Linked DNA regions of Mus musculus: regions 2, 3, 4 and 5 are each reported to be linked to region 1. Evidence: microRNA targets listed by miRTarBase, many of them from high-throughput screens and not tested one by one. Region 1 holds a microRNA gene; each other region holds the end of a gene's coding sequence.

Evidence for each region. The annotated mature microRNA mmu-miR-1912-3p reads CACAGAACAUGCAGUGAGAACU and lies in region 1 at 2,997-3,018, opposite strand. An mRNA with a match to its seed (bases 2 to 7 or 8) in the 3' UTR can be bound and repressed. Matches are read on the target gene's strand: a 7mer-m8 pairs with bases 2 to 8, a 7mer-A1 pairs with bases 2 to 7 and ends in A, and an 8mer does both.
Region 2: miRTarBase lists Arl14epl as a target of mmu-miR-1912-3p. Seed matches in the 3' UTR shown: 7mer-A1 at 3,216-3,222.
Region 3: miRTarBase lists Cracr2b as a target of mmu-miR-1912-3p. Seed matches in the 3' UTR shown: 7mer-A1 at 3,405-3,411.
Region 4: the mRNA of Mfsd11 is a reported target of mmu-miR-1912-3p. Seed matches in the 3' UTR shown: 7mer-A1 at 1,970-1,976.
Region 5: the mRNA of Shh is a reported target of mmu-miR-1912-3p. Seed matches in the 3' UTR shown: 7mer-m8 at 1,766-1,772 and 7mer-A1 at 2,260-2,266.

What each region holds. Positions count from the first base shown.
Region 1 is chrX:147,007,583-147,012,510 of GRCm38, reverse strand. It overlaps Mir1912 (microRNA 1912), which reads right to left and starts at 3,070; the gene lies at 2,984-3,070. The region is part of intron 2 of Htr2c (5-hydroxytryptamine (serotonin) receptor 2C); the gene reads right to left. Mir1264 (microRNA 1264) reads right to left here and starts at 1,910; the gene lies at 1,825-1,910.
Region 2 is chr18:46,931,120-46,936,047 of GRCm38, reverse strand. Arl14epl (ADP-ribosylation factor-like 14 effector protein-like) reads right to left here. Exons shown (of 5, transcript NM_001033446.2): 5 at 1,826-3,642. The coding sequence ends at 3,420. Among named protein-coding and RNA genes, the nearest start is that of Arl14epl, 12 kb to the right of the region's middle.
Region 3 is chr7:141,464,945-141,469,872 of GRCm38, reverse strand. It overlaps Cracr2b (calcium release activated channel regulator 2B), which reads right to left. Exons shown (of 10, transcript NM_001025103.2): 6 at 4,844-4,928; 7 at 4,517-4,609; 8 at 4,188-4,354; 9 at 4,036-4,107; 10 at 3,271-3,827. The coding sequence ends at 3,650. Cd151 (CD151 antigen) reads right to left here and starts at 2,511. Exons shown (of 8, transcript NM_001111049.1): 1 at 2,407-2,511; 2 at 1,327-1,454; 3 at 528-618; 4 at 216-407. The coding sequence starts at 611. Gm10575 (predicted gene 10575) reads left to right here and starts at 2,102. Exons shown (of 2, transcript NR_152219.1): 1 at 2,102-2,991.
Region 4 is chr11:116,872,449-116,877,376 of GRCm38, reverse strand. Mfsd11 (major facilitator superfamily domain containing 11) reads right to left here. Exons shown (of 13, transcript NM_178620.4): 12 at 3,998-4,133; 13 at 1,717-3,596. The coding sequence ends at 3,432. Among named protein-coding and RNA genes, the nearest start is that of Mfsd11, 21 kb to the right of the region's middle.
Region 5 is chr5:28,454,503-28,459,430 of GRCm38, reverse strand. Shh (sonic hedgehog) reads left to right here. Exons shown (of 3, transcript NM_009170.3): 3 at 828-2,591. The coding sequence ends at 1,576. Among named protein-coding and RNA genes, the nearest start is that of 9530036O11Rik, 10 kb to the left of the region's middle. RefSeq lists enhancers at 71-158, 1-591, 1-616.

The DNA.
Region 1 (4,928 bases):
AATATTCAGAACTCACATTTATCTTCTTCTGGTGATTTTCTTCCATGATTTTCTTTTCTTTTTGAAATTATAATAAAGTTGCATCATTTCTCCCTTAGCTTTTCTCCTTTCATACCTCCCTATATATCCTTTCTTCATCTCTTCACATTCATATATATATATATATGTGTGTGTGTGTGTGTGTGTGTGTGTGTGTGTGTGTGTGTGTGTGTGTGTGTATAAACTGTTCCTGCTCCATTTGTAACATGTTACTGATAGACCATGCGTAATACGGGAAACTTAGCCAAGTCTTAGCCAGTGAAGTCATGAATCTTGGCGGATAACCTACAACAATCAGTTTAGTAAGTCAGTATAGTCTCTAATTAAATTCTAAACATTTGTCCTTATGTGCACAGATAAGTGCAGTCCTCACCCTTCATCAAATAAACTTCTTACAACACATGAAGATCATTACAAAAAAATTCAGCCAATCAAACTGCAGAGTTATGGATTGCAGTCCCAGTGGATCCACCTAGTTTGTTTTTAAGAGTCACAGTGCATTTAAATAAGTCCATATTTCTAAAACAGATGATTACTAAATCATTCATCAAACATTTTATCTATATGGATTACCACTCAAGCCCATGTATGTATAAGTAATTGAATACAGAACAGTGAATAACATCTGCATAATTTTTGTACATAGAATGAAAATGAAAGGAAAAAGCGAGGAGAAATTAAAGGAGGAAAATGAAGAGAAGGGCAGGTATATCTAGTTCCTGTCTCATAAATGAGACTGTTGTGGAGCCAGATATTGTGGTGCATACCTTTAAGCAGGAGGACCAGAATTTCTGGGTCATCTTCTGCTTCATAGTCAGTTTAAGACCAGACTAGGCTATTGGGTATCTTGTTACAAACAATCTCAATCAACCAACCAAACCAACAGCAAAACTCTCAGTAGAAAAATCAACAAATAAATAGAAAAAGAGATTGAGGGCATCCTTCATGAAAATTGATAACAATACTAGTTTATATTCAAAGTGGTCTTTACATCATTCATAAAGTAGACTAACCAATTTGTTTTTCCTAATGTATACCTCTAGTCCGATAAAATCAACAATAACAGCTATACCTTACAAAGATGTCATAGGAGCAATTCAAATGTAAAACATTTTATTCCTTGATCTTCTCAGGAAAGGTGTTCGGTTAAAATACATTATCTATTGTCCTATCTCCAGTGGAATTTTAAAATTAGAAACAACAAATGCTATTTTCATATTCAAATTACTTTCAAGTAACTGGCTAGAAATTAAACCTGAAAAGTAGTAAAATGATGGACAAGGTACTTAAAAACATTCTGGATACGATTTACTATAAATAATGGATAAAAACCTTTTGGATAAGTTTTATTATAAATGATAGATAATACATGTAAGTAAAAAAGAACTAAGAGGCACAAAGCCTTTAAGGAACTCACATTATTTCATACTATGTTAATGTAATATGCTGAAGACATTAAGAAAAATGGTTATGAAAAGGTTTTATGGTGATCCAGGAAGTTCTATTTTAATTTATTGACCCTTGTAAGATTACTGATTTAGTATTCCTTTTTATAAATACTTAAATTTCTACAAGAAATGCTTTTGCTCCCATACTTCATATAAGTCCCAGGTTCAAGTCTCTAAATTCTTTGATAATGGGACATGAACTGCGCATCTGTGATCTTTTTAAAAGATGTATTTGATATTATTACAGTTTCAAAAATGATAGTCATTTGTACATTTACCTTATATTCATTCTCTCCCATATAAGATCACAAGCTCTGTTTGGTTTGTAGTTTTTTATCCTCCACATAACAGGTGCTCAAATAAGATTTGTTGCTTCATTTATTTTTTCAACAAATACTTATTGAGGACCTGCTATATGCCAGGCATGAAGAAATATAACGTGTTCTATGTATCCTGACATTGTCTTTAAAAAGTTCGACCATATTTTTCAATATGACATAGAAGTTTCAATATTTCTAAAAAGTAATTACTAAATCATTTTCTTTATAAACCTCCTTTTATCTCTACTTTGTTCTTAGTTGTATCTAAATATAGAGCTGTTGTGTTTCTGACCTATAATGTGTTTTATTCTGGCTCTTCAATTAGACTTTTTAATACATATTTAGTTTGGCTTTGCTTCCTTACATAAACAAGGAGATGCCAAAACAAGAACAAGTACGTTTTAATTATAAGTATTAAATGTGCAAGGATTGCTATGCTTTCAAATCAAGCTAAATCATTCTACTACTCTAGAAAAGTCTTCTATTTAAAATGAATGACATATATCTATTCAGAATATTTTCAATAATAAGTTTCAAATGTAAGAATGAGGTGAGCATCAGGTGACATATTTATTAATATCCCATTAATAATGTAAAACATCTGCATCTAATGTGTCATCAATGTAATTTTTGACACATGGTCATAATATATTTGAAACAAAAGTTTTATGTTGTTGAATCAATGGGATATTTGAGGAAATTGTCTTTCTTTTACTTTGATGCATGTGAATGCTTTGCCTGCGTATATAAGTGCACCACATGCATGCAGTGCCCAAGGAGGCCATCAGAGGGTGTTAGATTCACTGAAGGTGGAGTTAAAAAACACTTGTAAACCAAATTTTGGGTGCTGGGAATTGAACCTTGGTCCTCTGCCAGAGCAACAAGTACTCCTAACTGCTAAGCCATTTCTCTAGCATCTGAATTATTGTTTATAATTCTACTAAAAAGCTAACTTTGACTCTGTGTGAAATTTTAACAATCTATGTAAAGAAGAATATCAAGTAACAAATAAAAATAGAATCAATATGGAAGTTCAAGTAGTGTGTTTTTGAATCTAGGTTGTGGTGTTTGGAGACAGGATTAGTAAAAACCTTTAAATGGATGGTTAGTTAATTAATCTGTACCAAATACAAAGTTATCCTATAAGAATTCGTGGTTTATTCTTCTGGATGTCTTCCAATCTCTATCAAGTTCTCACTGCATGTTCTGTGTATTAAATAAAAATCTACACAGCCCATGCAATGAGCACATCCTAGAGACTAATATGCTTGTGATATGTAGTTCAATAGTTGTTAAGGGGTCATCAGCTTGTTAAGTTAAAAAATATTAAGTATATTTGAAATATTAGTTGGCAAAGTGGAAAACTTAACCAAAGAATTATGGAATATTGGAAATTGAAGAACCAATAGATTAGCAATCTGTCACCCTCTACCATTGCACTACATACTCTTTCAAACCATATAAAGAAAACAAATAGCTACCACAAATAAAGGTTGATATTTGAGAACCTCCTGAGATAACATAAAAATTTATAAACTCAAATAGAAAAGGTCATTGTTCACTACATCCAAACTAAATTCCCTACTCTGGTTAGTGATCCTGTAGATAGATGGTTTTATGAGAAAAAAAAATATTGGACATAGGAAGAAGGAAAACCTGGATTACATGTTATATTTCTCTGAATTTGTACAAATTAGTTCAATCTCTGGGTCTCAGTTTATACCTATTAAACAGGGACATCAGTAACTAAATTTGCTATTTTTTTTTCAAAAGATAAAAGACTTTAATAGGTCAAAGATCTCTGTCAATTATAAAAAGTTAAGTAAAACTGGTTCTTGGTCTTACCTGAATCAACGTATTTTCCTCATAGGTCTTGTTTTTTAATATTTTTTGTGCTGTTTTTTTTTCCTGAAATGTTCCCAACAACTTTTATGTTATTTTTCAGTTCCATGACCCTGAATTAAATGTTAGACTTTATGGAGTAGCTATGTGATGACTAATTACCTATTTTTTTTTTTAATGAACAAGTTTCTTGCAATGCAGTTGTCTGGAAACAACTAAAGTCCTGGCTACAATCAAATTTAGAATAAATAGGCAGGACAGGGAGAGAGTTAATAAGGAAGTGAACAAATGCACAAGATAATTGCAGAAGAATAATGCTGTAAAAATACAACAGAGCCAAGTAAAATAAGAGACAGAGTTTAAATAGTGAGGGTTGCTGGTGTATGTATCATGGGAGATTAATGAAACAGTCACACATAACCTGGGACTTAAAGAATGAGGAGCATCTAGGCAACTGAAATAATACTGTTACAAAGAGAACATCAAGAGCATGTGACTTCAAACTGGGTGTGAATTACTATGGCTGGGGAAAGGAAAATGCCTGAGGTCCTATCGCTGAGCCCTAAATACTGCACAGTTGTAAATATGGAATGGTGTGCTAAGACAAGTAAACAAATCTTCACTGATGGTTTGGTGGAGTTGTTTTTTGAATCTTATAAATATGTTCAACATAGCATCACCAGGAGCCTTAATATTTACTTGCTAAATGATCTGCAAAATGAACTTGGGTTTGAAAAATATTTTGGTTTAGTCCCTATCATTCTAAAGACCAACTATGGATTATATTTAAATGAAACAATTTGGGGAAAATAGAAGACTACAATGCTTTGCTTCTTAGTTGATGTATTAGTATTCTTTTAGAGCCAAGATTTGTTAACATTGAAAGAGTTGAAATTGACATACATTAAGCTATAAATTATCACTTTAATAAACTCCCTTGATATGTGATAGTCTCCACTTTCATATTAGAAAAGGCAGAATTGCAAAGTATTATTTGAAAGAGCTTTCATGATTTAATGGATATGCCATTCATATCTCTGAAAATTAGCACAGCTTAATCATGATAAAATACTAATAATATAGCTTACATGTTTTGTAATGGAAAATGAAGCATTTCTCTACAGTGTCACCTTTCAGACAAACTACTCCAAATATGTGGTGCGTTGGCATTGGAATACATGGCAAAGGAAGAATGGTCACTTTCCTGACCCCCCTCCTCACTCATAATACTAAAGATGGAAATATGGAAATCAAAGTTTCTTGTAAGCCTTCTACTATT
Region 2 (4,928 bases), not on the chromosome of region 1:
AAGTCATATTTTACAAACCTGATTTCTAAAATTGCATTGAACCATGTTTTACTAGGCTCTGTGTAAATAGCAGGCAATGTCTGCTGAGGAATTGTTCTTCTTTTATTTTTGGATTTACTGGGAAAGCTGCAAATATAACTTGCTAATACACTTACTTATCAAGACAGATCAGTTAAGGCCAAATTACCTTGCTGCTTAACAGAGACTGGCAAGAGGAAATAGAATAGTGTCACTTTGTTTTTAGTATGACATATGATGGTGGGGACTGGCGACAGAAGGAGGGTTTTCCACACTCACCAGGAGGCTCACCAAGGAAGCTGCTTTGAGGAAACACTGCCTGGGCCGCAGTTCTGAAGTGCTGATTTGGAGGAGTAGGAGCAGGCTCAGAAAGGAATGTTATTAAAAGTACCTGCATGTGATTATGGGCTGGCCAACTTAGCATGGTGTGTTACAAGGGCAAGTGTTATGATCAGGGGTAAGCTTGGGGTATACTTAGCATAGCTGGTAGAGGGTGTGCAAACATGCACAGAGCCTTGGGTTCTGTCTCTAGCATGGCATAGTAATACACACTTTTAATACCAGCTCTCAGGAGGTGGAGGCAGAAGAATCTGAAGGTTGGGGTCGTCCTCTGCTAAGCAGGGAGTCCTAGGTCTGCCTGGGCTTCATAAAATTCTATCTCGAACAATATCAGGGTTGCTAGCTTTTTCATGAATGCTCCCTCGGTCCAGCTTATTTAATTGGGGCTACATTAACTCAGTTGTAAAGGCAGGATGAAAAGAACCAAAAATGAAAATGGTTTGGTTTAAGTGCACAAAACTCCATGAAGGTAGAGAGAAGGTGGATTTTGGTTGATACTGAAAAGGTCAGCATAGGAACTTTGGGGAGGTCATGAAACACACACATACATACACACACACACTCTCTCTCTCTCTAGAGAGAGAGAGAAAGAGAGAGACTAATTAGCATTTCTTAGACCACAGGGTGGTGGGGACAGTTCATTCCTTGCTCACCTTCAGACAAGGGAAGTCCTTGTCACCTCATTGCCTAAAGACCAGTTTAAAGGGTGCACTGTTCTGCCAATCATATTGTGCCTAGTTGCTGATGCTCTATTCTGCCCCTGGAAACCATATAAAAACTCGCTGAACTGGTGCTGGGGGTCGCTGCCTCTCCTTTGGGTCTGGGACGACCTCAGTTCACTGGAACAATAAATTCCTCTTGCTTTTTCCATCGATCCTGGCTCGACGTGGTTCACCCAGGGGGCTCCCTGGAGTCTTACAGTGCTGTCTCTGGCATCTAGATCAATGGCTGGCACAGAACAACTTCTGGGTGTTTCTCGACCTATCCATCCTTCCCATGAGCTGAAACAGTGCACACTAAATAAGTCATCACGGAGTACAGCAGGTTCACTATTCAGAAAATGGATAAGTGAAAGGGACCGCCATCCTTTTAGCCTCAGTGAGCTTCCAAAAGATGTGACTTGTGTGATTTCACTCACCTTTCTCTCAGGACCGTGAGGGCTGATGGTCACAAAATGAGAGACACTTGGCATAGTGTTTGGCTTAGGGCATAGATACTCCAAAAAGGTGACTTGAGAATTTTGGGTGCAGTTCAGTGATAAACATTTACTGTGAATGCACAAAGCCCTGGGTTCAACAGGCAGCCACAAAAGTAACTGGAATCCAGAAAAGCGGGTAAACTGTGGGAAACAGAGCAGGGAACCTACATTCTCCTGTTATGTGTCAGGAGTCCCATGGGCACAGTAAAATCTTTGGGATTTTCATGTCAAAACATGGAGGAAAAAAGAAACCCTGAAAACCCAGCTTTCAACACTTCACATTTATTTAAAACAGAATTCTTGGTGGTTTAAAATAGTACCAAGTCACTAAGTCCCACTGTTTAAATACTTCCTTGCATTACATATCTACTGTAACTTAAAGAAGTGCTTTTCATACATGGCCCCCAGGCCTGTGACATCAATATCATCTGGGAAATCGTTTCAAATGTAAATTGAGTCACAGTACAGACCTTAAGTTAGTAACTGAGGATTTGCGAGCCCCCCAGACAATGAACATAAAAGAAACTCTGACTCAAAATGGGGAAAATTAGTACATTTGGTGTTGGAGAGATGGTTCAGTTATTTAAAGCACATACTGCTCTTGAAAAGTTTGGTGGTTCCCAGCACTGATTTCAAGTGGTTCATAAAAGCCAGTAACGCAAGCTCTGAAGAACCCAACATCGCAGGCCTCTGCAGGCACCTGCACTGATGTACGTAAGTTCACAAAAGATATACACACACACACATACACACACACACACACACTTGCACATGAGCACAAAGAAATGAGTACATAGAAGGCCGAATTCAACTTTCCAGATACCTGCTACCATATGTTAGAACACAGCCAGCCACGTCATGCTTTCTGTCAGCTGCCCATCCATACATCCAACTAGTAAACATACAAGCCACTCTGGGTATCACTGAAGGCTAACTTCCTTAAAGAACAAACAAAAAACAAACCCTGAAATACTGATCCAGTAAGGAAATGGGTTAGTCACAGACTTTTAGCATATTCAAGTCTTTGCTTCTCAATTTAGTAAACTATATACAATTTAGTACAATATGAATGTTTGGTAATAAAAATATTGTAATTACCAAATTTAAGTTGAACATTAAAATATAAAAAAATAAGACTAAAGATATACAGTACAAAGAACAAGTTGGCTTTTCTTAGTAATATGTGACATTCTAAGAAAAACATACATTTGGTTGTATGTTCTAGGTAACAGCTTTTCAGATGCAGAGTTCTGCAAACCTTAAAATTACGGTGTTCTCGACCAGACACCCTGAGAAGGGAGAGGTGTAGCTTCAAGGCAGAGTTGAGAGTGCTGCTAATGAGGAAGCCTGAGTGTCCACTCTTGCAGCCTGTGGTCACCAGCTGAGGAAGCTGAGAGGGTCTATACAATGATTGTCTGGTCTACAGCCATCTGTTGCACCAACACGTATCCAAGAGAAAGAAGTTTGACTTAAAAGTGTACATATATAAAATATATTCTCTATAGGGCCATACATTCATTCATGAATGTTTGTTGGTATGTATGTATGCATGCATGCATGTAGAAGGAATAGAAGCCAGGCATGATGTACTATACCTAAATTAATACAACTTGGGAAGCTAAGGCAAGAGAATTGCCATAAGTTCAAGGCCAGCCTGAGCTACAGAATAAGACCCTGTTTCAAAACAAACAAATGCACACCCTCACACACAAAGCACACGCAGGCAGAGAGAAAGGGGAGCAGGGGGGAGGAGGGGAGAGGAGAGGCGAGAGGGGAGAGGGGAGAGGGGAGAGGGGAGAGGGGAGAGGGGAGAGGGGAGAGAGGAGAGGGGTGAATCTAGCCGTGAATCTATGCATAACATCTCCTAGTCAGGAACACTAAATGGCAGGGTGTTGATGACCTCGCCAGACTCGGTGACGATGGCATCATAGACCCAGCGGCGGTTGCAGCGGCACTCCGGCCCACACTTGTTGGAGTTGCACTTGGGGCACGGGTAGAAGCATCCCAGGCAGTTCTTCTCCAGGCAGTCACACAGGTCCACGTCGTTACAGATCAGCCTGCCGCTTTTGTCGTACTTCTTCATCACCCTGCAAAGAAGGAGCCGCTGTGAGCGAGCTAGCCTGCTATCCTCCCCGTGAGAAGAGGATGCACAGCATGTCAGGAGCATGGACCCACTCTCAGCGACGTTATCAGAAAGAGTCTGCTGTGTGAACCGGCGGTGGTAAGCTGGGATGGTCAGCCAGGGAGTGCAGCCAGGACTGTGGCTGAGAACAACTTGGTTGTCCAGCATTTCTGGAGCATCTAACCATCCGTCTAAAAGCACTGAACAGCTGGCTGATGCTTCCCCATAACACAGTTCTACATTTTCCTCTAAAATATCAGCATGTTGAAGGTATTTTCCTGTTAGGGAGGGGGTCCCTGCAACACCGTAGCCAGCAGAATGTAATGAGGCAAGAGGGGAGTCTGGTTCAACACAGCTCAGTAGTCAGTGTTGGTTCAAACTTCTAGAGTCTAACATTAGACAATTTTAGGTGTATTTAAGTAAATTACAAGTTTCCCAGTATAACATGATCTCATATGTACAATAAAGCTTAAGGCATAATTACTTCAAAATTCTTTTCAAAGCATGTTACCTCTTCCGTGAAGATGGATTCTACAGAGACACTGCCTGTGCGTGGGTCTGGAGGAGGCTCTAGAGTGGTCTCTGTCATACAGGTGGTACAAAGGTCACAAGGCTATAAACCATCCCCAGTCCTGTTTGTAAGGGTGGGGGAAGGTGTGGCCTGGCCCTACAGAATCAGTCCTGCTTGTGGGAACAGGAATCAGGTATGGCCTGGCCATACAGATAGTGAAGAGGTCACCAAGCTATTAACCACACCCACCCTTGGAATTCTGGATGGAAACCAGGTCCTTCCACTGAGGAGAGAACTCTGCATGTTAAACATTCTTGGTTTCCCTAGAGCTTATCCGTGAGCACAGGGGCTTCGTGCACTTCACATTTTTTTCTACTGATTTTGTACTCCTCCTCCCTCTTAAAAGCACTCTAGCAAAAACTACTACCTTTCTTAATGACTCAAGATGAGGCCCATCAGTTACTATACCATAATCATTAAAGGAGGAGGGACTATTGGCAAAGGTTCCAGGTGCCGCCTCTTCTGTTTCTTTAGGACTACGTTACCCCTAGTGTGGATGGAGAACAACAGAGGCAGGAGTCTGCACTGTAAGAACCCACTGAAGGCTACGTGTTCAGTGCCAGAGGGGCAGCATCTCGGTCTTTAGAACCCCATGCTTTCTCTGTCCAACTCTACAGCAGCCCCACGAGTGAAAGGACTTTAACAAGAACTTTACCACACACTCAAAACAAAACACTTTC
Region 3 (4,928 bases), not on the chromosome of region 1:
CAACCCAGGAGGCCAAGCAAGAGGAATTCAGTTAGGAGCTACACTCTGGGGCTGCCTAGCTCCTTCATAGTTCTGAAGCTCGTGTCTGCCCCAACAGGGACAGCCTGCAGTAATACACTCAACCAGTTAAGTCCCCAGAACCAGTACCAGAGGCCCCCTGAGAAATCCATGCAAGGCACCCCTAGCCCCACCGTGTGCCACCATGCCCCACTGACCAAGCGTAACAGGTTCCGTCGCTCCTTGAAAGTGGCACAGCAGCCCAGGACTCCAGTCACCATGACAACAACACCAGCCACCACTAAGATGTAGGCCGTGGCTAGGTAAGTGCTTGAGGCCAGCAGACTAATGTAGTCACTCTTGAGGGCCAGTGTCCAGATGCCCACTGCCATGACAGCCAGGCCGGCCAGCTGCAGAAAGTATATACTGGTCACCACATCTGGCCTGGGTCTGGAAGCTGGGACTGAGCCCCCCAGGCCAGGCCTCCAACATGGGGACTAGGGATGCAGGGAGAAATTAGCTCTTCTCACCCAGAAGCAGCAGTTGTAGGTAAAGAGCAGGTACTTGAGGCAGACTGTGCCACATGTTGCCTTCTTCTCATTGAATTCACCCATCCTGGGCCTAGAGGAACGGGGAGGAGGTCAGATGGCCTGAAGCACCAGGCCTCCAAGTAGGAAGAAAGCTATCTACCAACGGAGACAGGAGGAGATCCAGCAGTCCCCGGATGATTGCAGTTTGGAGCTCAGCCAGCTATCTGCCCTCAGAGGAGCATTCCCAGGAACCTTATGAGTCACTTCCTGAACTAACCTCCTCACAGCCAGACACATGGTGGGTTATCATGGAGGACCCCCCAACATCTGCTGACTCACTCCTGCTGGCAACAGGGGGGGAAGCACCAGCAGACCTTCAGGGTACATTCCTGTTGATCGGCACCCCCAAGCATTCCCTGAGTCCCACAATCAGGCTGCTAGGTACTTACCACTCATACCCGTTCCCAGATATGGCAGAGAGCTCAGGCCACCCTAAGGGACAGTTTGTGAGGACTCTGAGCTGACTCTACTACCAGCCAGGGCAGAGACAATAAGATGCCGGTAGGTGGAGCCTGTACAACCAGCTCTCCTCCCGACTGTAGGGGGAGGTCCCAGTTCCACATATGTGAATGTGCCACTCCTCCAGGAGTCCCCTAGTCACACCCTGCCCTAGACACACTATTGTCTGACTGAGGACAGTGTACAGACCTCGGCTGACGCAGGTCAGATTCCCAGACACACACCTAAGCAGAACTGTTAGCCAGGGGCCTTGAGGCTCTGCCCAGGCACCAGCTCTCACCTCTCAAGTCAGGACCAGCAGGTACAGGTCAAAAGTCACTCTCTGCCCTTCACCTAGCAGGTGGGATCTTGCCACTCCAACTACAGAAGCTTAAGCAGTGGTCAAAATGGTTCTCAGAGCCACCAGATCTGCAAGGAAGCATAACAGGCAGGCCTGCTGTTTTCTACTGGACGGCGGCAGGCCAAAGAACATGGCTGACCTGCCTGATCTAGGGAGGGACCAAATGCCTTCTCCAAGTGCCCCACCTTCCAGTCCCATCCATCACAGTCCCTCCCCCACCAAACAGCAGCGACCGCAAACTGAAGGAGGATGCATCGACTGTCCATTTTGGAAAGTGGGAGAGATTTCAGAGCTCTATTTGGAGATGGGACCCAAAAATGCATGCTGCCTCACTGAAAGCGGGCAATGACATAAAGAAGCCTGGCCACAATGCAAACCCCCGGGGCCAGGCTCTAAAAGCCCAGAATCTATGGGCTTTTAGACACATCCATCAACCTAAGCCAAGAGACAATCAGCAGACTGGATGTAAATTCTCTGTGAAAGTGCCGGTGTGAGAGCCTGGACCAGCCAGAAATAGCTCCTGCGGCCTGGACACAACCGCCCTACACTTAGCTCCTGGACCTGTCCTGGGCCTTCGGCACCCGCCCCACCGACCCGATTAAACACTGAAGTGGGCTGGGCGAGGAATCCCCGCGTCACAGAGATGAAGTCACCACCGCCCCTGCCGCCCTCCCCCGCCCCGTGCCAGTGGGCGGACCTGCGGTCTCAGGGGAGGGAACCGGTGTCCAGGGACAATGAATAGGGTGGTCAGACTTTTAAATTTCTGGGTTTCTGCACGAAAGAGACCGTCAGGCCTGCTCAAGAACCACAGAAGCTCTCTCCCTCACCCCTCCCCCTCCGGCCTTCTAACTGCCCGGCCCCGGCGTCGATCTTCCGGAAAGGAGTCTGCAACCCTGTCCTACCTCAGGCTCTGCCTCCTGGGCGTCCCTGAGGCCAGCTTGGAGACTAGGAACACCAGTGAGCGAGGAACTCAGGACACTGCTCCCCACACCCTCCGGCTATGCTTCACGGAGCACTCACCAACCACGCTTTGAAATACCAGCCCCGGCAGCCACGGTAGGAGCGATCACTCGGAGTACAGAGAACGCTCGGCCCGGGGCCTGCGAGGACACGCCCTGCGCGCGACCCCGCCCCGGGCGCAGCCCCGCCCACGGCCGGCCTGGGCAGGCAAGTCCTAACTGGTTTGGTGCTAAGGCGCGCGCCAGAGAGACCTGTGGGTCTGTAAAGTTAGTTTAAAGGTGCCCCGTTTGTCATCAAAAGCCCCAACTCGCCCAGAGACAGAGGAGCTAGACCAGAGGTAGAACCCAGGTGGGGAGCGAAGAGGTGGGGAAGGTGGCACCTAGCCCACCAGAGGTCCAGAACTGAGGTCAAGACCAGTTTCTCTAGTCTAAGCCGGGAGAACCACTCTAAAGCTGCAGGTTCTAGCGGCTGAAGAAATGCTAGAGGGGAAACTCCAGATACAGTGTGGAGGGTGCCAGAAGATTCCATAGAGACATGAGGGCCCTGCGAGAGGTGCCCAGTGTGGGTGGCATATGGTCTGGCTAGGAACTGTGCCAAAGGATGATGGATAAAGGACCTGGACCAGAAAGCTAGCTGACCACGGAGGTGAGGAGCGGGACCTTCCACGTGTGGACTAGCGTGGGAGCGGACACCTGTTGAAACCTGAGTCCTGGGAGCTTCAGCTGGGAGGAATGGGTGAGGGCTTGGTGAATATCCAGAATCACAGAACACACACAAGCACACAGGAACCCCCAGCTGCAGGAACGAAGGGGTTAATGTGCACCTGTAAACCCCTCCATGTCACCTTGTGCCATGGATACCAAGCATGAACCACAAATGCACCGTGGCTCCCAAACACACAAGAGCCAAGGAGTACACAGTATACAATGGCCTTTATTGGTCCTTCAGACAAAGATTAAGGAAGACAGGATAGCCGGGCGTGGTGGCACACGCGCCTTTAATCCCAGCACTCGGGAGGCAGAGGCAGGCGGATTTCTGAGTTCGAGGACAGCCTGGTCTACAGAATGAGTTCCAGGACAGCCAGGGCTACACAGAGAAACCCTGTCTCGAAACCCCCCCCCCCAAAAAAAAGGAAGACAGGATAAAGACTGAAGGACTGAAGGCCTTGACTACTCTGAGGTTAGCTCCTTCAGGCATGGGATGCCTTCTGGGTAGAGCCACACACTTAGCAAGTATCCGCCACCAAGACCAGTCCCTCCTAGGGGCAGTCCTCTGGATAGGGAAGTGAGTCACTCGGGGCTGGTCATCGGGCACTAGGAAGATGGCCAGAGCCTCGTCTGGGGGGCCGAGCCCAGCCACAGCAGCAGCAGCAGTAGATGGGTCCGGGCTTGTGGGCAATAGCTAGAGCCTTCCTGTGGCTACTGCCCAGCAGCTTGGTCTCACAGGCATCTCTCTCATCTCGAAGCCTCAGATTCAGCTCCCTAGAAAAGAGAGGTAGGAGACCGAGGAGGCTAAGATCTAGAGGAAAAAGTGCATGGGGGAGATGCCTTCCCTGAGTCAAGAGGACTACAGAGCCAGCCGCATGAAGGCTATAGGGCAGACATAAGGACTTCCAGCAACATGGGTAGGAGCCAATACTATCTGGAAACTTGAAACCACTTCCCATTAGCCCAGGCAGGCCTGACCCACCTCAGCAGCTCCAGCTGCCTTAGGAGGCTGAGTTTCTCTTTCTGCATATTCCTGGAGACAGCAACCACATCTCTGTGGACAGGAAGGCTGTGATCCAGATGTGGGTTGGGGGGACAGACCCTTCTACCCTCACCACAGGCACTTCACCACACCTTTGGGTTTGCTCCTGCCGACCCTGTGCTTCGCCCTCCAGTCGACTGAGCTGCTCTTGGGCCTGGTCCAGCTGTGCCCGTATGGCCTCATAGGCCCTCTGCAGCTGGATGTGCTGGGCCTGTGCCTCTAGCTGTTCTGCAGCCCGGGCCTGCAGCTGCTGTTCCAGCTGGGGAATGGTGGAATGCTGGTTGGCATGCCACACCCCTCTGGTCCCAAGCTGACCCCTCACCCCTGTGGCTCCTGGTTGAGGACCCCAAGGCACAGATAAACCCGCCCGCCCCCCCCCCCCCCCATGCGAGGACACCAACTTGAACTCAATACGGCTTACCTCCCGCTGCCTCAGGCCTGCGCGCTCCAACTCCTGCTCACGGGTCTGCAGCTCCAGCTCCAGGTGGCCCCTCTGTTCCTCCCGGGGTAGGTTCTGGGATGTACAGCCGCGCTAGAGCCTTCGTTCCGGGCTCAAAGGAGGCAGGCAAGGGTGGGTAGCGAAGGGGTGGAGAGTGCGGGAAGGGGCACTTGCTGAGGCAGAGCAGAGTTCCCTGGACTTGGGGCAGCTTGGACTCCCAGAGGTGAGTCCTCTGGGGAGGAACCAATTCGGGGAAGGCGGAGCCAGAGAGGCGAGCAGCAAGGCTGGGCGAGGCGTGCGCGGGCCCACCTGGCTCTGCCTGCGGTGTCGCTGCTCCCCGAGCTGCTGCTCCAGTTCTTCATACAGTCCGCGCACCTCCCTCTCGTGTTCACTC
Region 4 (4,928 bases), not on the chromosome of region 1:
CAGGCCTGAATCAATCCTTTTGTCTCAGCTAAAGAACTAAGGGCAACAACAGGGTCAACCAGCTGCTGGGGTTATCTCAGCTTCAAGAAAGCCAGCCAGACCTCAGCCTGGCATGGCGGTGCAAGCCTGTAATCCAGCATTTTGGAAACAGAAGCAGGTGGACCAGGGTTCAAGGTCAAATTCAACTACATAACAAATCTGAAGCTAGTTTTGCCTACCTGAAACCCTGCCTTACAAAACAAACCTTACAACCAGGGAGGACGCCATCGTTCCACACAGGGGACTTCTATAAGGACTGCGGCTGACAGCAGGGCTTTGCGGATTCCTACCCTACCATCAAATACTCAAAAATGCCAGGCATGGTGGTGCGTGTCTGTAATCCCAGCATTCAGAAGGTGGACAGGAGGAGGAGGAATGTGAGGTCAGTCTATGCTACATAGTGAGATGGAGGAGAGCCTAGGCTATACAATAGCCTATCTCAAGAACTGAAGCACGGAGCTAGAGAGAAGGCTCATGGGTTAAGGGTGTGCACTGCTCTTCCAGATGTGAGTGTGGTCAGTTCTTAGCACCCACACTGGGTGGCTCACAGCCACTCTAGCTCCAGGGGATCCCATGCCTCTGCCTTCTGACACTGACACAAGCATACACACCTAATCAATAATAAGAATAAATCTCACCTGCCCCCCACCCCCAAATCATCCAACCAACTACACAATTTCTAGATTCATGGCATGTTTCAGAGTCACAGGTCTGGGTGTGATGGCTATGCCTTTAATTCCAGCACTCAAGAGGGAAGGCAGATCTCTGTGAGTTCAAGACCAGTTTGGTTTAGGCTACTCTGAAGGGGAGTGGGGAGGTTGTAAAGGGGAGGGGAAAGGAGAGAGAGAGAGAGAGAGAGAGAGAGAGAGAGAGAGAGAGAGAGAAACACAAACCCAAACAAACTCCAAAAAACCAACAACCCCAAAGTGATGGAAAACAAGATATGTTTCTCTGAGCTGGACTCACTGTACTGTGGACAGATAAATGTCACGTTTAAAGGGAAGGCTCTGTTCTATGGAATATCCAGCAGGTCCAGACATAGGAAGGTTGTTAGTGCCTGCCACATCTGAGACGGGCTGAGGGCTGAGACAATGCAAGACAGTTCTGCAGTCCTGGGGCTGCAGAGCGGGCTGAGGATTGAGAGCACTTGGGGTTTGTCCTGGCTTGAATGAGAAAGGTCCCCACTGGCTCACACAGCTGAATGCTCCTCCCCCTCCCCCAGTTGGAGGAACTGTTTGGGAAGGATTGGGAGAAGTGTCACTGGAAGTGGGCTGGAGGGGTGGCTCCATGATTAAGAGCAGCAGCTGCTCTCCCAGAGGTTCTGAGTTCAATTTCTAGCATCCACACAGAGGCTCACAACCATCTGTAATGGCAGACCCATGGGAAGTTCTCTTCTGGTGTACATATATGCACACATATATCTATATACATAAGTTACATAAAGACAATTCTCTAAAGCAGAAAGCCATTCCCAGTTAGTTCTCTGCTACCTGCTTGTGGATAAAATGTGAGCTCTTGGCTACTGCTCTAGCCCCAGGCCTGTCCCGCTGTCATGCTTGCCACAATGATGGTCACAGACTTACCCTCTGGAACTTTTAAGTGCCAATAAACCCTTAAGCAAGTTCCCTTGGCTGGGCATTGGTAGTGCACACCTTTTTTTTTTTTTGACTGTGTATCTTTTTTTTTTTTTTTTTTTTTTTTTAAAGATTTATTTATTGATTATATGTAAGTACACTGTAGCTGTCTTCAGACACTCTAGAAGAGGGAGTCAGATCTTGTTGGGGATGGTTGTGAGCCACCATGTGGTTGCTGGGATTTGAACTCTGGACCTTCGGAAGAGCAGTCGGGTGCTCTTACCCACTGAGCCATCTCGCCAGCCCTTGACTGTGTATCTTAATGTAATTTTTCCAAGCAGGCACCAGACTTTTAATACAGAAGAAAAACAAGAAAGCTAGGCGAATACATCCGTCAAGGTACATCGACACAAAACAAAGAAATAGTGGACACTTTAATCCCAGCACTCAACCAGATTCTCCAGCCTCGTGAGTTCAAGGACAGCCAGTGCTACACAGAGAAACCCTGTCTCGAAACAAGTTGCCTTGGTATCTCTTCACAAGAGGAAAGTAACTAAGACACCAGAGAACGCACCCCATATCAGTGGTCTTTAACTGCCTGTAAATGCAGTTCGCAGGGATCCAATCTCCATCTGACTTCTCTGAGTTCTGTAGGCAGAATGTATATACAGACAAGCCACAGGCAAACACATACACTAATAAATAAAATAAAAAAGAATTTAAAAATAAAATATTGTCATTAGATATGGTGGCAGTTATACAACCTTATGCACACACACCACACATACACACTAAGTTGGTGAATTTTAGCCAGAGGTTGTTTGTGGCTTGGAAGAGCACAAGTTGGAGGCCAAGCTGCAGTACATACATGTTAGACCTGATCTAGATGCTTAATTAATTTAATATCTCAATCGTAAGAGTGTCAGTCCTTGTGGGAGACAGTCTGCAGTGCTTACGCACTTTCCCACAGAGGATGGCCGGAGTTTTCTTTATTGTAACGGTCAGGACAACCACAGCATGAGTCCTCCCCCTCCCAGTAAATACTCTTTCCTTCTCTAAATATGCTTTTATTAGTTGACAAATGACACAGTCTTTACCTCATTACACATAACCAGCCCCTTGCTGGGAGTGACAAGGTAAGACTTGTTCAACAAAGCATTTTAGGAGAAGTTGAAGTCTCAGCGGTGTGTGGTAGCATATTCTCACCACCCAGGCATTCTGGAGACAAAGGCAGGAGCATTGCCTGGTATACAAAGTCCAGGCCAGCCAAGGCTGCATATCAAGACCCTAACTCTTAGGATTGGAGCGTTTTAAATCCAGTGTTGGGCAATAACCCCAACACTGGAGGCAGGGGAGGGCTGCAAGTCCAAGACCAGCCTGGGCTACGCAGTGAGATCCTGTCTCAAAACAACGTGTCTCAGCATCCTTGCTGTGTTTCAGAAAGTCATTCCCAGACCCACACATGGAGTGGCATCTGCTTCCTATTTCGAAAGAGTGAGGCATACTCCACAGCCAGCAAGGATCTCGTGACACATGGCGAGCCAGGCTGGATCGTTCCTCGAGAATGAGGATGGAGGAGCCCTGATTGTGAGGAACTGAGGGAGGGGGTGGACGAACATCTCAGAACAGCTGTAACGGATAGAGCGGGATTCCCTTCCTCCGCTAGCGTGTGCCGCTAGGATATGTAAACTTTACTACCAACCCCGCCCGATTTCACAGTCTCCGTTCTCGCTTTAGCGATTATGAGACTGACAGGCCGTCGGATTTAACCAGCTGCCATGTGACCAGCTGTGTTTCTTGGAGACACTTGTTTTCTCATCAAATGCTTCGGTAGTCCGAGCCTCGGGCCACGATGGCAGCAGCGTCCCACTCCACAGCGAAGAAAGAAATGGTTCCAAAAAACCCAAATATCACCATGACCAGGAGCTGCCAGTGGAGGAGGAGGTAGTTGCTGTAGAAAAAGGCCACGGCTGCGCAGATTGACTAGAAGAAACAAGATAAATCACCAAGTGGATGCTGGGGCCTCAGATGCTCCACAGTCAGCCCAAAGGACATCTGCAACTGGCAGTGCCCGTGAAGACAGACTTCACTGGTCCCCAGCTCACAAATGCACCCCAACTTGCCTGACAGCAATAATCCAGTAAGCTGTGGCACTATAATAGTACAATAAAGTGATGAGAAGTCTGAGACTCTCTGGAGAGATGGGGCTGGTACCTAAGGAAGTATTCACTCAAGTGCAGAGACCAGAATTAAAGCCTCTCACCTAAGCAAGCCCACTGTGCCTGGTTCTCCTCACCCCCCTTTACAGGACACCCAGCATTCATTTAAACCCCCAGTGACCGAGGACAACGGGAAGGAAACCGACTGCAGCACAACCCAGTTACCTGAACAAACTTAAAGACCGCGAAGGCCGGCGCGCTGTCTTCCGAGTAGAGAAAACCCAGAATGCTAAGCAGCTGGGTGTTGAAGCAGCTGTCTCCCAGACCCAGCAGAAAACTGCAGAGAATGGCAACTTCTTTGCTGAAGGAAAACAAAAAAGCAAAAAACACATAAGACTGGGAAGATGGCTCAGTGGTCAGACAGAAGCATGCGCTGATTCTGGGAAGGACCTGAGTTTGGTTCCCAGAACCCATGACTCCAGCATCAGAGGACCCAATGCTCTTCTTTGAACTCCACAGGCACCACCTGAACTCAAATATGCCCCCCCCCACATATATGAGTAATTTAAATAAAAATAGCTGGGGGTGGTGGGTACATGCTTTTAATCCCAGCATTCCAAAGGTAGAACCAGATGGACCTCTGTCAGCTCAAGGCCATCCTGGTCTTAGGGAGTTCTAGGACGGCCAGGACTCTGTAGAAAGACCGGTCTCAATGCATACATGCATACATACATACATACATACACCGGTCTCATACATACATACACACATACATACATACATGCATACATACATACATACATACACCAGTCTCAATGCATACATACATGCATACATACATACATACACCAATCTTAATGCATACATACATACATATACCAGTCTCAATGCATACATACACACATACATACATACATACACCAGTCTCAATGCATACATACATGCATACATACATGCATACATACATGCATACATACATACATACATACACCAATCTTAATGCATACATACATACATACATACATCAGTCTCAATGCATACATACATACATACACGGGTCTCATACATACATACACACATACATACATACATACATACATACATAAAACTAAAGTGAATCTCTAGAAAGAAGTTAAATGTGTAGCACCAATATTCA
Region 5 (4,928 bases), not on the chromosome of region 1:
CTTCCGAGGCTGTCTCCTATTTATCCCACAAATCACAATGACAATATCCCACAATACCAAGCTCTTTATTGGATTTTAATTAGAAAATCCACACAAGTCTCGGGCTTTCACACCTCGGGCAAACCTCTGGAATGTTTGTCCAGTTGCTACAACGACTACTGCTATATTTCGCTTTCGGCTCCCTGGCCATCCACCGACCAACACCAAGTCCCTCACTGGGGAAGCGGGAGGCGGGGGCGGCTCGGGTTCCCGCGGCGCAGCCTCCAAGCACTGCGCACAGGGAGGCGCTGCGCCCTGCTGTCCGGGCGCGAGAGAGGAGGGTGCGCCTGGCGCCCGTGCGAGCTCAAGGAGGCTTCCTGAGGAATCCAAGTGGAGAGTAAATATCCTTCTGGGTTTGCGACGTGGCTGGGTGCAAAGAAGGGGAGGGAGAAGGCAGGGCCCCAGGCTGGAGAAAAGCTGGGAGTGTCCCGTGCCTCTTGGAGCAGACAGCCGGCTAACTTTTACCCAGCGGAGCAATCTTGGAGGGTCATTCAGGAATGCGCCTGAGTCTGACTTTAGCTATTGGAGCGCTGGGGTTGTTGGCATAGGGCAGTCTGCGCCGGGCCAGTCTAGATCTACTCCCACCCTTATCCCCCGTCTCTCCACCCCAAAGAGCGCGCCCCTGGTCCAACCGAGTGAGACATGAACGCGCGCCGCCACACACACACACACACACACACACACACACACACACACACACACACACACACACACACACGCTCGTACACGCACCCGGTGTACCTGTCTCCTTTGGCACTCAACACCTGGTCTTTCTCTCTACTCCGCAGAGAACTCCGTGGCGGCCAAATCCGGCGGCTGTTTCCCGGGATCCGCCACCGTGCACCTGGAGCAGGGCGGCACCAAGCTGGTGAAGGACTTACGTCCCGGAGACCGCGTGCTGGCGGCTGACGACCAGGGCCGGCTGCTGTACAGCGACTTCCTCACCTTCCTGGACCGCGACGAAGGCGCCAAGAAGGTCTTCTACGTGATCGAGACGCTGGAGCCGCGCGAGCGCCTGCTGCTCACCGCCGCGCACCTGCTCTTCGTGGCGCCGCACAACGACTCGGGGCCCACGCCCGGGCCAAGCGCGCTCTTTGCCAGCCGCGTGCGCCCCGGGCAGCGCGTGTACGTGGTGGCTGAACGCGGCGGGGACCGCCGGCTGCTGCCCGCCGCGGTGCACAGCGTGACGCTGCGAGAGGAGGAGGCGGGCGCGTACGCGCCGCTCACGGCGCACGGCACCATTCTCATCAACCGGGTGCTCGCCTCGTGCTACGCTGTCATCGAGGAGCACAGCTGGGCACACCGGGCCTTCGCGCCTTTCCGCCTGGCGCACGCGCTGCTGGCCGCGCTGGCACCCGCCCGCACGGACGGCGGGGGCGGGGGCAGCATCCCTGCAGCGCAATCTGCAACGGAAGCGAGGGGCGCGGAGCCGACTGCGGGCATCCACTGGTACTCGCAGCTGCTCTACCACATTGGCACCTGGCTGTTGGACAGCGAGACCATGCATCCCTTGGGAATGGCGGTCAAGTCCAGCTGAAGCCCGACGGGACCGGGCAAGGGGCGGGCGGGGCGGGGAGCGACTGCGAAATAAGGAACTGATGGGAAAGCGCACGGAAGGAGACTTTTAATTATAAGAATAATTCATAATAATAATAATAATGATAATAATAATAATAATAAGTAGGGCAGTCCAAAGTAGACTATAAGGAAGCAAAAACCCCGGGGAGTTCTGTTGTTATGTTTAGTTTATATATTTTTTTGAAATTTTTCGTTATTGTCTTATATGGGTTGTTTTTCTCCTCTCCTGGCTATTTATTTGTTTCGTATGAATAGATGTTTTAAAAATATGAACGGACCTTCAAGAGCCTTAACTAGTTTGTGTCTTGGATAATTTATTATTGTGTGAACTGTACTCACAGTGAGGGAAAGATTATTTTGTGAGGCCAAGCAACCTGCTGAAAGTCTATTTTTCTACATGTCCCTTGTCCTGCGTTTCAGAAGGCAAACCTCCGCATTCCTCTCCTGCTATGCTCCTGCTTTCCCGCAAGTGTAAACTAAAACCTGCTCCATGGGGGTCCACAAATTATATTTTTATACACAGAATTGTAAATTAGATTTTTGAGAGATCAATACCTAACTGAATGACATTTCATTTTTTGAAAGTGTAAAATATGAAAATATATTATTTTAATTTAACTATTTTCCAATGTAATAGCCGTCTTCTGTACTGCCTTCTTGGTTTGTATTTGCTTTGTAACCGCCACTTTGTCATGTTCTTGGAAACCAAGACTGTTAACGCACACATATACACTTTTTTTTTTGACAGACTGGAAGAACTCTGTTATTTTTAACTTCAAAGAATTTATTAGAAAATAATATTTTTTAAAAGTGCACCTAGCAGCGAGCCCACGAGGATGGAGCCTGTAGTTTGTACAGAGAAAAACAAGGATGTTTTTGCATTAATAAACTGAGAAGTAACTGCTGTAAATTTACTAAAATGTATTTTTGAATATTTTGTAATAGTTTTATAGAAATAAAGCGTGCCACACACACCCAGTGGTCAGTAGATATTTTCTGAGAATTCCTGTTGCACCCCCTTTATGTTGTTTTTGGCTTCATTTCTGGGAAATCTGGAGCCCCAGTATTTTGTTGAGTTGTAATTTCAGACCTACTGACTTAGGAAACCAAAGTCAACAAAACAAATCCACTGTCTGCCCTCCTCATTGGAAGACCCCAGCCCTGTACTTGCTATGCAAAGCTCCGCCCACACTCTCCAGAGTTGGGGAATTGAGGGGGACAATCTTCCCCTGCCCATTTCCAACTCTTTGCCAGCAAAGCCTTCTTTGTGGGCAGGAGAGGCCTAGCATGTGCAGTCCCCTTTTTACATGGTAGCCTGCTGCCCTTCCCTGACCCTAGTCTCTGATCTGGAGGGAACAGCTTTCATAGCTGAAGATGCTGGACCTTTCCAGACAGGGTCTCCTAGAAATTTAGTTCTCCTACCCCTCCTAGCATGGTCACTGGAGTAACTTCTCCATCTGGGCCTGGTGAGCTGCCTGCCAGAGCCAGAGAGTGACCACTTTAGTATCTCTTGTTCTTTGTCTACCTGGAGCAAAGCCTGTAGTTTATCCCCAATGCCCAGTCAGTGACAGTGTTAGCTAGGTGTAGTGGGAGGAGTCCTTCCAGCTTACTGCCCCAGCTTACTGCTGCCTGGCAGTGTGTTCAAGAGGACTCTGCCCTGGTGCTTTAGTGTATTGAAACATGTCCTTCTCTGTGCTTTGGGGAGAAACATCTGAGAAGCTTTGAGCAGATGGAGGGGTCTCTGGGCAGATAGGGCCAAAGCAGAGACTGGCCCTGGTTTAAGAAGCAGCACTAAGTGAACCTTCTAACTGCTTGGCAAGCCTGACCTCCAAGGAGACCTTTGAGGGTGTCTGCAGCCCTGAGGAGCTTCTTGGTGACAGAGGTTTTCCCAGGAGGCTGTCCCCACTACAATAGCCTTGGGTCGGAGATCTGTCCTCCACGGCTTCCACAAGGCCAACATGCTTGGCAGCAGCAGGCCTTGGGATTTCTCTGCAAAAGATTTTTCTTTGGTCTCATAGGACTCAGAAGCAGATTCGTAGCTGGTATTTCCGATGTCTCGTGGAATTGGCCATTGCTCTTCTTTTGTCCATTCTGACAGACAAACTGGAACGACTGTGCACACCAACAGCTTCGACTGTGCCTAACAATGTAATCAGTTACCCATGCAGCACTTGGGCAGAGGCAAGAACTGGATGCCCACCCAGCTCAACAGTTTGCCATGGCCTGAGAGGAATTCTTGAAACAAGGACACCATAGAATACACAACTCCAAGCAGTCCCTGTTTCTGGAGGGGCCAGGTGGCACAGCCCTGCTGCCCATCTTCCAGGGTCCCTCTGTCCTTCTTTGTAGGATCTTTCTTTCTTTTTTTTTTTTTTTTTAAGATTTATTTATTATATGTAAGTACACTGTAGCTGTCTTCAGACACTCCAGAAGAGGGCGTCAGATCTTGTTACGGATGGTTGTGAGCCACCATGTGGTTGCTGGGATTTGAACTTCAAACCTTCGGAAGAGCAGTCAGGTGCTCTTACCCACTGAGCCATCTCACCAGCCCCTTGTAGGATCTTTCTATAGGCATGAAAGAAAGGTATTACATAGGTGTGACAAAGACCCCAAAGAAAATACAGGCCGCTGAGCCTTAGCAGGGCACCCACATATCTCCTCAGAATTGGTAGTATCAAGAAATTGTGCAAAATATATTATGGTACTTACTGCCATCTTCTCATACCCAAGTTTTTAATCTGTTCTTATAAAAAAAAAAAACCAACAACTGCATCATAATGTTCTCAAAACTGGTATCTTTGTGCTATATGGGTTGCATAAGTTAAGAAATCACAGAGACTTCCTGAACTGTTGGTTATGTGACAAAATTTCTATCTTGTGCTGTCGAGAACCTTCACGTCCCTTCGTGAGAGTAAGCTGTGTATGAGAAGGGAAGTTTCCATTGAGAGGGTGGATGTCACTCTCTCAATGGGTGGATTGAGTCAGGTTGTGATCATTTTTCCTGTGCAGGAAGACATGTGACCCAGCAGCTGACAGGGTGGCAGAGAGGTCCTCCCCTGGTGGGGTCTCAATGTCATCAGTGTCACACTCCATGGGAAATGTTGGGCACACATGGAAAGGATGCTCGGTGGCTACAAGACTTGGCCAGAAAACACCGAAGCCCCTGCCAGGGACTCATGCGGGCACAAAGAAGCTGGCTATACTCAGCCTATGGGGCTCCCTAAGATCCAGGAAACCCAGGCACCTTCTCTCTGGGTACCCAGGAATGTGGCCCACATGTGACTTCATAGAAACAGATCACAATTCACTTC